2 linked regions of the Kluyveromyces lactis genome follow. The protein of the gene in region 2 interacts with the protein of the main gene of each other region in a pairwise test. Links are inferred from orthologs where the notes say so. Each region holds a gene or a part of one and is shown on either strand. Other genes may lie near its edges.

Region 1 (5,560 bases), about 1.2 Mb from region 2:
GTATTTGATATAATAACGGAGGAGTTACTCAGTTTCATATTTGATATAAAGCAACAATTATCAGCTGATGACAAAGAAAGATTGAAAGGAATCTTTCCTGCTATTGTGGACTACTTCGTTGGAAGCAATCCAAAAATTCTCACTGATATTATGAAATATGTAGTTAATATCATGAAGTCTGCGAAGGAAAAACAATATGGAACTTCACTAATAGTGCTCTTTTTAAATCATCCTGATTTCAAGATACAAGGTAATAAGACTCTGTTGAAAAAGCTTAATGTGTTCAAAGCCAATGCAAAAAGAAACTCGACTCGACAATACAAATTCATCCCTCCAAAGGAAAATAAAAAGGTATCAGATCGTGAGACGCTGCAACATAATGAACAGCAAGATAATACAAATATTTTTCCTTTATCTACATTATCTGTTATCGAAACTAAGGTAACTTCCTCCGAAGAGCTTGAAGTTCCGCTGCAAACACTTTCGGAAACTTCAGATGAGCTAATTCGAACGGGGTGCCAAAAAGTCGTTGAGCCTATACAAAATTCTAATGACAATGAACCAGTAAAAATGGCTGCTAGTGTACAATCCGAAAAGCTTGAAGCAGAAACAACGCAGAATGCAGTGTCACAAGTTTCATCAGGGGAAATGGAAAAACAAACGCCTTCTATTAAAGATAGCAGCACTGAAGTCAGCGAATGTCTGCCAGGTGTTGCAAATAATGATGAGATATCTAAGAACCTTGATACAGTGACAAGCGTTAACTCCCCATCTGGGCTGCCTCTGAAGATACCAATTTTTAATCCTTTCTTTACTGATGTTATCAAACTCGAAGAGGATCTTGCTTCGAAAGGCGATACCTATATATCAGGGAAGCGGTCTTTAGAACTGATGAACTCAGCTGGTGATGTTGCAAGTGCAAATTGTGAAGGACAGCATCATACAAAAAAAATTATGCGAATTGTTTCAAGTTTAAATGATGTCGATATTGATGATGTGAAGTCTTTAAGCAACAACGATAAGAAGCTTTTGAGAAAGGTAATGTATAATTTTATGTTAAACTTAGAAGATTAAGGACATGTTGCAGTCAGATTTTTCCTATCCATAACAAAAATATTTCTCGGAATGATCAATTTACGTAAACAATATCTCTACAGAATACAGTTATTCTTTTGAAAAAGCGTCTCCATTCTAACGGGTCACCCCGTTTCCTTTCAAAAGTAACGGATTTCAGATCACCTTCCAACTGCATGATGACTAGAGATCCTGAAAGTGGGAGCTTATTTCTATCATATGTTTTGAGCTGTATAGACACAGGATAGGGGTTACTCTCTCCGATCTGCCGTTTCAGTTCCAAGAAATTATCGTGAAGATTTCTACTCACTCTAACACCATATGCAACCAAAGCATTCTCTAGGTCTGAGAGGATTACACTAATATCATCAGTAGAGAAAAATTTAGTTAGCCTGTCAGATGAAAAGTTAGGCATTAGCTTCATATCATTAATATTAAACTGCAAGGAAGCGAGATCTTCTTGGATTCTCTTGGTTGAAAATGGCTCCTGCGTCATTAATTCCCTTTCACTTGAAAAATTCGTGCTGCATGTAACCTTTTGAGTGGCAGAGTAGCCGTTTCGCAAATTAGCCGGTAAACTATCTATATGTGCAAGCTCACGATTGAGAGGTTGGGTGAACGACATCTTTGCATGTTGATTGGCAAACACTTCCTGCGTAGAAGATAAATAATCGGCATCTGATAGAGAAACTTTAAGCTTTGATAGTAATTTTTCTGCAAGCAAAGAAGGATTTTTACAAAGGCCATTTTCATCTGCAAATTTCGGATTTGTTTGATACCATGTATGTTTCCGTAAAGTATCCAAAGAAGCTCTTTTCTCTGGATCTGGTTGTAATATTTTTCTCAAGAGATTCAATTCAACGAAATCTATCTTCAGCCAAGATCCCTGATCTAGCTTTCCTTCGCCTTTAATAAAGTTTCTAAACGTTTCATCGTCCTCGTGAGGAAGTTCCCAAGGCGTTTCTCCAGTCAACAAAACGAATAATAGAACACCAATGGACCAAATATCTGTCATATCAGCATAGTACCCATCACAGTATATTATTTCCGGTGCCATGTAGGGAAGACTTCCTCGTTGATCTCTAGAAATACGTTTTGATCCATCTTTTCTCTTGAACAGCGATGCTAGCCCAAAATCTGCAAGTTTTAAATTCCCATCTTTATCCAATAGGATATTTTCCGGCTTGATATCCCTATGGGCAACACCACAGGTATCATGCAGATAACTTATAGCTTTTATAAGTTGTTTATAATAGAATTGGGCGACTTCCGAGTCGACTCCAATGTCAGGTTCGATTTTATCGAAAAGATCACCACCTTCAGCCAGTTCCATGGCTATCCAAAGAAACGGATCAGAAAGATTGCAATCTATAACCTTTAGCACATTAACAAAATTAGAGCATCTAGAATGTAACTTAACTTCCCTCAACACATCTTCCTGACTCATACCTTGTTTCTCACATGAAGGAAGATGTATGAATTTGACAGCAATTACAGTGGACGGATCAACTTCTAAACTAGCTCTCTTCACAAAGGCAAAGGAGCCCTTCCCAATTGTTCTTCCTAGTTGTAATCCATCAATATGAGGGAGCTGAGCTATCTGTGAAAAGCTCATCAATACATCAATCGAAGTGTTCTTCTTTTACTTCTTTTTTGTTCTTGTCGGTTCGTATCTCAGAAATCTCCAGCTATATCAGCCAAACGCACATTCAATATTTACGCAACTGATGTGCTCAAAATATCATCCAACCGTCCTAACTGAACCCCAAGTGATTTACCTAGGATAACACGTCGGAGACTCGTATATAAATCCCGTTTTCCCCATAAGTATCATCATAAAACTATTGTTTTTCTTTTCTGATCAGATCTGCGATAGTCATTAGTTTCTGTCATTTCTTTGCATTTATAAAAACGTACATTGAAAGGGGTTTTACTACGTTTATAGTTTAATCAGTGAACAATAAACAAATCCGATACTGTTGATAGAAGCAACGAAGCAGTGGTGAGCTTTTTAGGAGTGGTAAGTGTAAGATTAGGCAAATATGAATACGATGGATACACTGGATACGCATTTTGTTTCCTCTGTGGAAAATGCGGTACAAGAATCATTGCGAGAGAACAAGGCGTTATTGGTTTATACTACGGGCGGAGATAATTCGTGGTTTGAGTCGTGGTTTACACCACTTGTAGGGGAGCAGTTGAAGGATTCGTGCGTTTGGTTACGTTTAGCTGCTGGAAGCAGGGAAATGGGTTACTTTGAGCAAATATTCCCGGATGTGAAGGTTCCTAGCGTTTATTGTATTGCTAAGGGACAAATAGTGGAGATGATAAATCCAGATCAGTTGGACATGGACGGATTTGCTACTAGGTTGATCCGGGCAGTTGGTAAAAGCAAGAGGAGAATCTCTGAAACGGATGCCGTTGATGCATCCAATACCGTTGGTGCCGCTGGTGATACCGGCGCCAGGTCCGGTAGCTGTCTGTCACAAAATGCGAAATTGATGGAGTACCAAATAAAGGCCAAGAAGCACCAGTTGACAGAACAACAGGAAAGAGAACGTATTGTTAGATTGATGAAAGCGGACCGTGAAGAAATGAAGCAACGAAGATTATCGTCATCATCTCCAAATCATACTAAGGAACACATCAATGAAGTATTGGCTGTACCCATTCACGATAATATTAAAAACAGAGATATAATAAACGCAGCAGTGTGCACCTTGCTTATAAGATTAACAGACGGTAAGACATTGAAAAACGATTTCGATTCGTCTCAAACTTTAAACGATGTAAGGACTTGGGTGGATGCCAATAGGACAGATAAGGATGGTCCGTACCAGTTCCATCGAAGTATTCCACGTGAAACTTTCACAGAATCACAAGAATTACTATCTTTGAAAGCTCTGGAGCTTACTCCAAGATCTGCATTAATCTTGAAGCCTTTGGAAAAGCATACATATTCTCGTAAGATTGCAGATGTAGAAGGACCAGGTTTGCTTGGGAAAATGTATCAGAACGTGACGTCCTGGTGGTACGGTAAATCAACGGTTGTTGATCAAAATATTCCTGAACCTGCTGAAGCATTAACATCTCAAGCTTCATCTAGATATGTTTCTCCCTTATCTTCCCCTCGTCTGGTACACTCTGATGCATCGATACCCTCAAGAGCTGTCTCTCCATCTTCTATACATTACGGCCATGTCTCAGACGACAACAGCAGATAGCACACCTGATTTATGAATCGCCTTTATGTTAAATATCATATGTATGCATGAACGAATTAAATATACATATTAATACCAAATATGAGCAATCACTCTTATCGGAAGAATTAGGCCAACAGTTTCTCGGTCATCTCTTCCTTTTTCGGTTCCTTCACTTCCGTCTTCTCTGCACGAGGAGAGTCCCTGCTCGATACCCTCAAGGATCCAAGTTTCTTTATCAAATCTTCTGTTGAGCCAGATTCCAAAGGTGCTGCAGATTTTTGTTCTTCGATCTTCTTTTTCTCCTTCTCTTTTGTATCCTCTGTTGATAGCTCCTTCTCTAACAGTGACAATTCTTCTTCAAGAGCATCATTGTCGGAAACCGACTCTCCTACTAACAAATTATGAATACGGTCTTGCTTCTCTGTATTTTCTTGGAAATCATCTAATATGTTTGAAATAGAATCTTCATCTAAAAGTTGTGAATTGATAGCCTTCAAAGCGGTACTGCCTTGTTTTAAAAGATTAATCATAACCACATTTTGTGAAGCATTGGATATTTCATCTTGGAGTTTCCTAAGAGATTCTAAACTCGTGTAAGCTTGTTCCAAGTTCTTTTCTGAGCGTTTTTTCAACCTAAGAAGTGTTCTCTTAATCTCTTGAGAAAGACCCGATGAAATAGCGCTTGTCAGCCGTTTGGTAGTAAGATCTAGCACCTTTTGTGCCGATTTTATCTCCGTTTCCGCAGTGAATACATATTCATTAATATTGGCAACACAAATATCTTCTTCAGATACTTCTTTGGACGCTACCTGGGGGCTCGCACTCAACAACGGAGAGATAATCTTAACTATATTTTCTGAACCGACAATAATTTGATTCTTATCACATAAGTAATCAAGTATTATTCCGTAGGAGTCCCAATCTTTCACGATGCTATCAATTCCGGACGCCTTATAAAAATGACCCTTAGTGAATACATAGTCAGTCGCTTTGTGAGCACTTTCTTTGATGTTATTCTTCAATAGATCTTGTAGTACCTCGTCATTTCTCTTTAACCACGCAATATTAACATATTTGACTGGTTTTAAGTACATTGCAGTCTCATTTTTTCTGCTCTTCCAGGACAAATCTAAGATTGTCTTGCTGATAGCCCAGCTCATCATTGATATTACGATGTTCTGATTCCTTTTGTGATATTCGTTAAGGGATACTAACGTGCCTTCTTTTACCATCTCATCTAGCACTACGTCAATGCTTTTCGGAGCACCATACTGAGAGTT
Region 2 (6,037 bases):
AGGTTGGATGGTATATCAGGCAAAGCTCGTAGATAATGGCTGCAATCAAACCTATAACAAATCTCAATCTCATGTTGTAGAAATCGAAAATAATCATTGCAAGGGGTAGTAATGAAAGGGTAAAGAAGAAGTTCCAATGGATACCATATTCGGTTGCATGTTCTTGATAGTTTACAGCCTTAACGGAAAACAAACGAATGAAACCCAATACCACTAGTACCACCGTCGACCTTAATGATTGTTTAATTTTAGCCCATTTGGATAATTCAGTTCCAGATTTTAATCTTTTGTAACTTATAATACCATTGCTGAATACAAACGATCCAACACCTAGATCCATCAATGAAATGCCCCAGGTTTCTACCTTGGCATATTTCCTAGGAAAGATAGGGAAATCTACAGCCAATATGGCAATGGAAGTTAAGATCAGCATTGTACTCCTATACACTGTGAGGGTTGCTGACTGGTTGCCATTGTCCATTACAGTTTCTTTAATCGTTTCGCGTTTACTTCCCTTAGATATACATCCAAATAATAGCACCGCACTTAAACCTAATATACCTGTAAGAAATGGGTTTTCCCCAAATACAGTAACACTACAGAGGAGACCCATCCAATTCAATAAGAAATCTAACCAGAAGGAGTCCCGGTAGCTGGGATTGTTCGAAACGACGTAGATCCAAGCGGCGTTAGAAAAAATACCGGCTAATGTGACATCTCGTAAATCTGCAATTGAACTTCCGGAGTGTCCGGTAACGAAAGCTTCCTTCCGGTGTTTCAATTCATCAATTACACCAGAAGCATCCATGGTCTGATATCCCCGAGCCTGTATACGTTTCTTGTACTTACTTCCTTTATTGAACCTTCATTGATCTAGAGCTTAATAAACAGGTAGAATGACACTTGTCAATATTTTCACTTTTAAAGGAAGCATGCACAGAAGAGTAAATCTGGAATATAGGTTCAGACACGTAAAAATGACACACATTTAGGAGTTAGAGGCACTTCTAAGCAGAATAAGAATGTTAATGATCTTGTTACAGATAATATCCGAATGGATATGTATACATATATACATACATATATATGGCGTGACGTAATAATACATGAGATTTATGAAACATGAGAAATGATGTCTTTAGCTTGGCTTCTGGTAGAAATCTTCCTTCTTTTCAAATTCTGCTGCACAGATGTCGACGTTGATGCTGATCCGTACGTGATCTGAGTATGCGAAAGATGGTCACTATCATGACCTACAGTTTGGATAAAGCTTGATTCCTCATTCTCTGTATCTACATTATTTGAAAGAAGTTTCCCCCAACGGTTCCCTCTATTTGGAACATGAGGTAGTTCTGCTGATGCAGAAGAGGCAGTTGACAGAGGTGCCGCAATATCAACAGGAGCGGGTTTCTCTAGCAAAGGATCCTCGTTTCCTCTTTCCTTTGGAATTATTTGTAGTGCAAAGTCAGATTTAGAACCCTTGGGACAAGAAATACACCAATTAACGTCATTAAAGTAGATGTTCATGGAAGTCTTATTAGGTTTCATTGCTCTTTGGAAGAGTTCAATGACAAAACTTGGAGTTAGGATGGGAATATGATGAGCTTGCTTAACGAATTCAATTTTCCGTTTCATTGAATTTCTAAACATTTGAGCTTGATTTACAGAGATCTTCATATCCAAATCTGTCCTGAACATTGACGCGTACTTATTTTGCCTTAAAGTATGTTCCTGTGGTATTGAAGTCAATTGGGAGATGTTAACGAGTAAGAAATCCGTCTTCTTCGTCAATTTCTCATGATGGTCAAAACCAATCAACTTCAAAAAGTCTATAATTTTATTGATGTGTAGTAATTCCACGCCATGGAACCCTGTGATATGGAAGGAAAGTTTAGGGCCATGTAACACCGATTTAGGTGGAATGATATTGAAATCGTTGTAGAAAGGTTTTGACCAAAAATCCGGAGGTAGGAGTTGTTCGTAATACAAACATCGTTCGATGAAGAATTCTGTCAACCACGATGATTCATTTGGGATTCTCGGCAGTAGATTTGCCGGAAATCCACTTGGACAGATATAATAAATGGTCTTATCCTTCAGCTGTGCCGGTGACGGTGATGTATCCTCGAAGAGGGAAGACGTTCCTTTATTACCGCGAATGACATTAGATAAGATAGTAACCTGTCTTTTTTCGAACTTGAATAGCACGAAGTGACAGTCCAGGAAGGTCGGTGTATCCTTTGTCTCACCAAGGCATTCTTGATGCGTTGGGGTGGCTTCCTTAATATCAGTGGACTTTGACGCTGAAGCATCACCATCTCTTGCCAATAGTTTCCCCCATATCTGATTCGCTTGAGGCTTAAATTTATCTATAGCAATCTTCAACGGATTCACCGAATCATCTTGTACACCCATGGGATTTGGTTCAGTTACAGATTTTTTCTTATCTGGAACGTCACGAATGTACGAACCAGAACCAATGTCAGAGTATTCAAGTTCATGACAATTTTTCAACAGGTAGAAAGATTGAAAGTCTAGAGTCCCTGATCTGTCCATACAATCAATGATCCATTTTGGATGCACTACGGGAACGTTCTCTTCTAAAGCAGCCTGGACACGGTTCCCCGATAAATCATCGGTAATAAACAACGAAATGCATGCATTGGATGACGAAGAGTTCCTAATGAAATGCGTGGTATCTACCGATTTCACTTTACCCAATTTACACAACTGAACCAACGACTCAAGAGAATAATGGTTATTAGGTCGTATTCTGCCAATGAACAAGTTAAATTTTTCAAACGACCCGATAGAGTACTTCGATTTTAAGTACTGGGACATATCGAATTTAGCCAACTGCAACAGATCTTCTCCTGCGAGCCACGCATCGTACAACTGATCAACGGATCCCGGACTAACAAACACGATATCAGTTCTATTCTTGACAGCAAAGTTATACTTTGCGGTGAATAACTCTCCAACAACCAATACGTTGACTAGTCTTGTCAAATCCTTGGTATAAGTCCCACCGAGTTTTGTCACTTTATGTGAGATGGTATCAGAAACCGACAACGGGAGAGACGTAGGACAGAACACCAGTCCTTGAAATGGTTTGCCGGACATGTTTGCTCTACTTCAGGGAGAATTGAGGAAGAAGAAGAAGAAGAAGAAGAAGCTATCTACACCTTTGTTCCAGCTTTTTAGACACATCATCACCATTCATATGTGAAGGAAGGAAGGATGGATTGGATATCTGTGTAAATACGCGTTTATGTGTGGAAAATAATAAACAGAGAAGAGTTGTAAAATGACATTTGTTTACAGGTCACGTGGACGAAAAACACAAGCTACCCAGGGTTACCCTGAGAAAACGAAAACCAAAACCAAAAATTAAACACTAACCACGTGACTACAGCGAATCTCCCCCTTCCGGCGCCCCCCCCGTCGAGTCATCATCCTTGTCAGCAACCGTCCAGCTGACTCATATATCTGTCACATGTGAAATTGCAAGAAGCAGGCAAACATCGCCACCCATACACCATTCGGACTTGTGACTTCTCCCCGTTAGCCTTTCATCCGGACAAATCCTTTCAGGTCCTTACTCTCCCTACGATAAACCGATATAACTGCACAAATTTTTTTGCTGACTACACGGAAAACCGCGCCTAGAACCGCTTTTTTTGTCCCCAAAACTTCCTTTCCCCAGATCCGGCTGAAAGGGACAATTGCAAAACTGGAATTACACACTACTAACGCATATTAATTAGCCCTCTTATATAGTCTATAGCATACCGAATACTGAATAATATGTCCAACGTCACTTGTGGAAATGTCACAAATGTCAGTTTCTGGGATCCATCAATTAAGGGAAATTCTTCAAACGTCCCAGCTATCTCGGTTATCTCATTGGTTTATTCTCTTGGCTTGTTAAAAGGTAGTTTCTTCTTGCCTTAGTTTCTTGAATTAGATTTCTCGAGGGTTTTTATAGCCAAATATTATTATTATTATTCATGATTCTGAATCAGATATATAAGACAAACGGACCTGGGGAAACGTTCTGCCATATAACCATGAACCGGAAGGTTTATGGTAGGTATCAGATGTTTTTTTTTCTGTTTGGAACGTAAGCTTGCTATAAGCTTCCTGTAGTAGCGCCAAGTATATGTATATATCACTATGCCAAGTGTTTCGCAGGATGATGTAAAGGGCGTGCTTGCTGGTAAGATGTCTACTGGTAATAGCAGTGATGACAGTAGCAGTCAGTCAGGTAAGAAGCGTAAATATGGGAAAGTCGACAAACACAATGAGAAGAAATTGTTGATGCCTACGGCATCAACAAAAGTGAAACGGTTTTCACAGGCATGTGATAGATGTAGGCTTAAGAAGATTAAATGTGACGGTATCAAGCCTAGTTGTTCCAATTGTAAGAAGATAGGGTACCATTGTTCGACTAGTGATAAGCTTACAAGACGCGGGTTCCCTAGGGGTTACACGGAGATGTTGGAGAACGAGGTGATTAAGTTGCAGCGGCTTTGTGGGATGGTGGACGAGAACGGTGAGACCGTGATTGATGGTGCAGTAGCTGCCGTGGCAGCTACTGCACAGACGGGTGTTATTCCTGCTGGCCAGGAATTCCTTAACTCTGTGGGGGAAATGGGAACAAAGTCTTCTGTTTCGGTTCCTCCAGCGGCATCGGCAGCGCCAGTACCGGCCCAGGCCCCTGCGTCCACGTTCCTACCCTTTATCAATGATACTTTCCATAAATTCCCAAACTATATCCATGACCAAGTGTATCTAGGTAATTTCACCTGGAATTCGATCGTCAACCATAATAAATCTCAGTTGAAGTCTTTCCAGTATACAAGGTCTATCGTACAGGACCCGGTTCTATCGTACCTTAACCGACATTTCCCACTTTCACCGAGCGGTGTACCGATTAATATCCCCTTATCTGCTGAGGATGTAATACGATTAATTGATAAGTACTTGAACTCGAACCAAATCTTCCCATATCTCTTGGGGACGTCATGGCACCAACGAATGATCTCGGTACTAACCGGGACTTCGACTGTCTCTGACCCTGCGGTGTCCATTGTACTAATACTTATAGTACAGTTCGAGTTGAATTGTTTCAATAACGAGACGATTTTCCAGGCGGTTAAACTTTTGGGTTCCTTGTCGCAGGACAAATTATCATCGATTCAACTGATGAATTTCGGAATACGGTATTTCATGTCCCAGGAGAACCCATACTCTGTCATTTGGACTAACGATTTGATTAATTTCAACCAGTATATGATCATCAATTCAGCTTTGTTCTTGAATTACAACAATCTTGTTGGACATGAAAACTCAACGTCAAAGGTTATTAGGCTTCTCACGTTTTATCAATTCCAAGTGTTCCAGATCTGGTGGTGTTTCATCAACGGATTACCTAAGACTAATTTCTTAATCGATGAATTCCATCCACCAACCATTTCAGAGTTCCCACCTCATTTGAAGATGTTCCAACTCATTTATGATTTCATATTGCAATTGGATGGTTGTCACCTTCAATTATTAGCTAATGAGACTAACAATAAATATCAGCTGTTGATAGAATCCTTCGGTTACAAATTAATTTACCAATGGAAACTTTATCACCATTTACAAGACCATGATTTCAAACAAATTCAATTGGAAAACAACGACTTACTTGAAATCGGTATCACTTTGGTATACCTCGTATGCCGATATTTACAACAACCGAATTCCGTGGAACTATCTTATGAAATCATATCACTTTATTGGTTAATCCTATCCGATAATTCAAACGTGAAACCAATAAATTCGAGAATCTTGAAGACTGTTCAGTTTATGCCTTTGAACAATAAACAATTGATAGAGAACTGTTTGTTGAACTTATTGAATGAACCAAAGGAAACGTTCAACTGGTACAAATACAAGAAGTTGTTGAAACGATGGGTCACCATTTGGATGGATGATAACGACATTTTCTCAAGGTTAATCTCTCACTACCAACTCTCCATCGGCATGT

Evidence for each region.
Region 1: the proteins of DPB11 (region 2) and CHK1 interact in a two-hybrid assay, tested with the Schizosaccharomyces pombe proteins (2 studies listed by BioGRID). The link is inferred for Kluyveromyces lactis from reciprocal best matches to the Schizosaccharomyces pombe genes rad4 and chk1.

What each region holds. Positions count from the first base shown.
Region 1 is NC_006042.1:118,872-124,431, forward strand, and holds CHK1 (serine/threonine protein kinase CHK1), read right to left. Parts: upstream 2,690-5,560; coding exon 1,130-2,689; downstream 1-1,129. Other genes in the region: DNA-binding protein RIF1, read left to right, coding at 1-1,074; KLLA0_F01298g (UBX domain-containing protein), read left to right, coding at 3,117-4,298; phosphatidic acid-binding protein CHM7, read right to left, coding at 4,406-5,560.
Region 2 is NC_006042.1:1,324,749-1,330,785, forward strand, and holds DPB11 (protein kinase activating protein DPB11), read right to left. Parts: upstream 3,124-6,037; coding exon 1,114-3,123; downstream 1-1,113. Other genes in the region: GWT1 (glucosaminyl-phosphotidylinositol O-acyltransferase), read right to left, coding at 1-808; SIP4 (Sip4p), read left to right, coding at 4,177-6,037. UniProt on the Schizosaccharomyces pombe protein: Essential component for DNA replication and also the checkpoint control system which couples S and M phases. May directly or indirectly interact with chromatin proteins to form the complex required for the initiation and/or progression of DNA synthesis.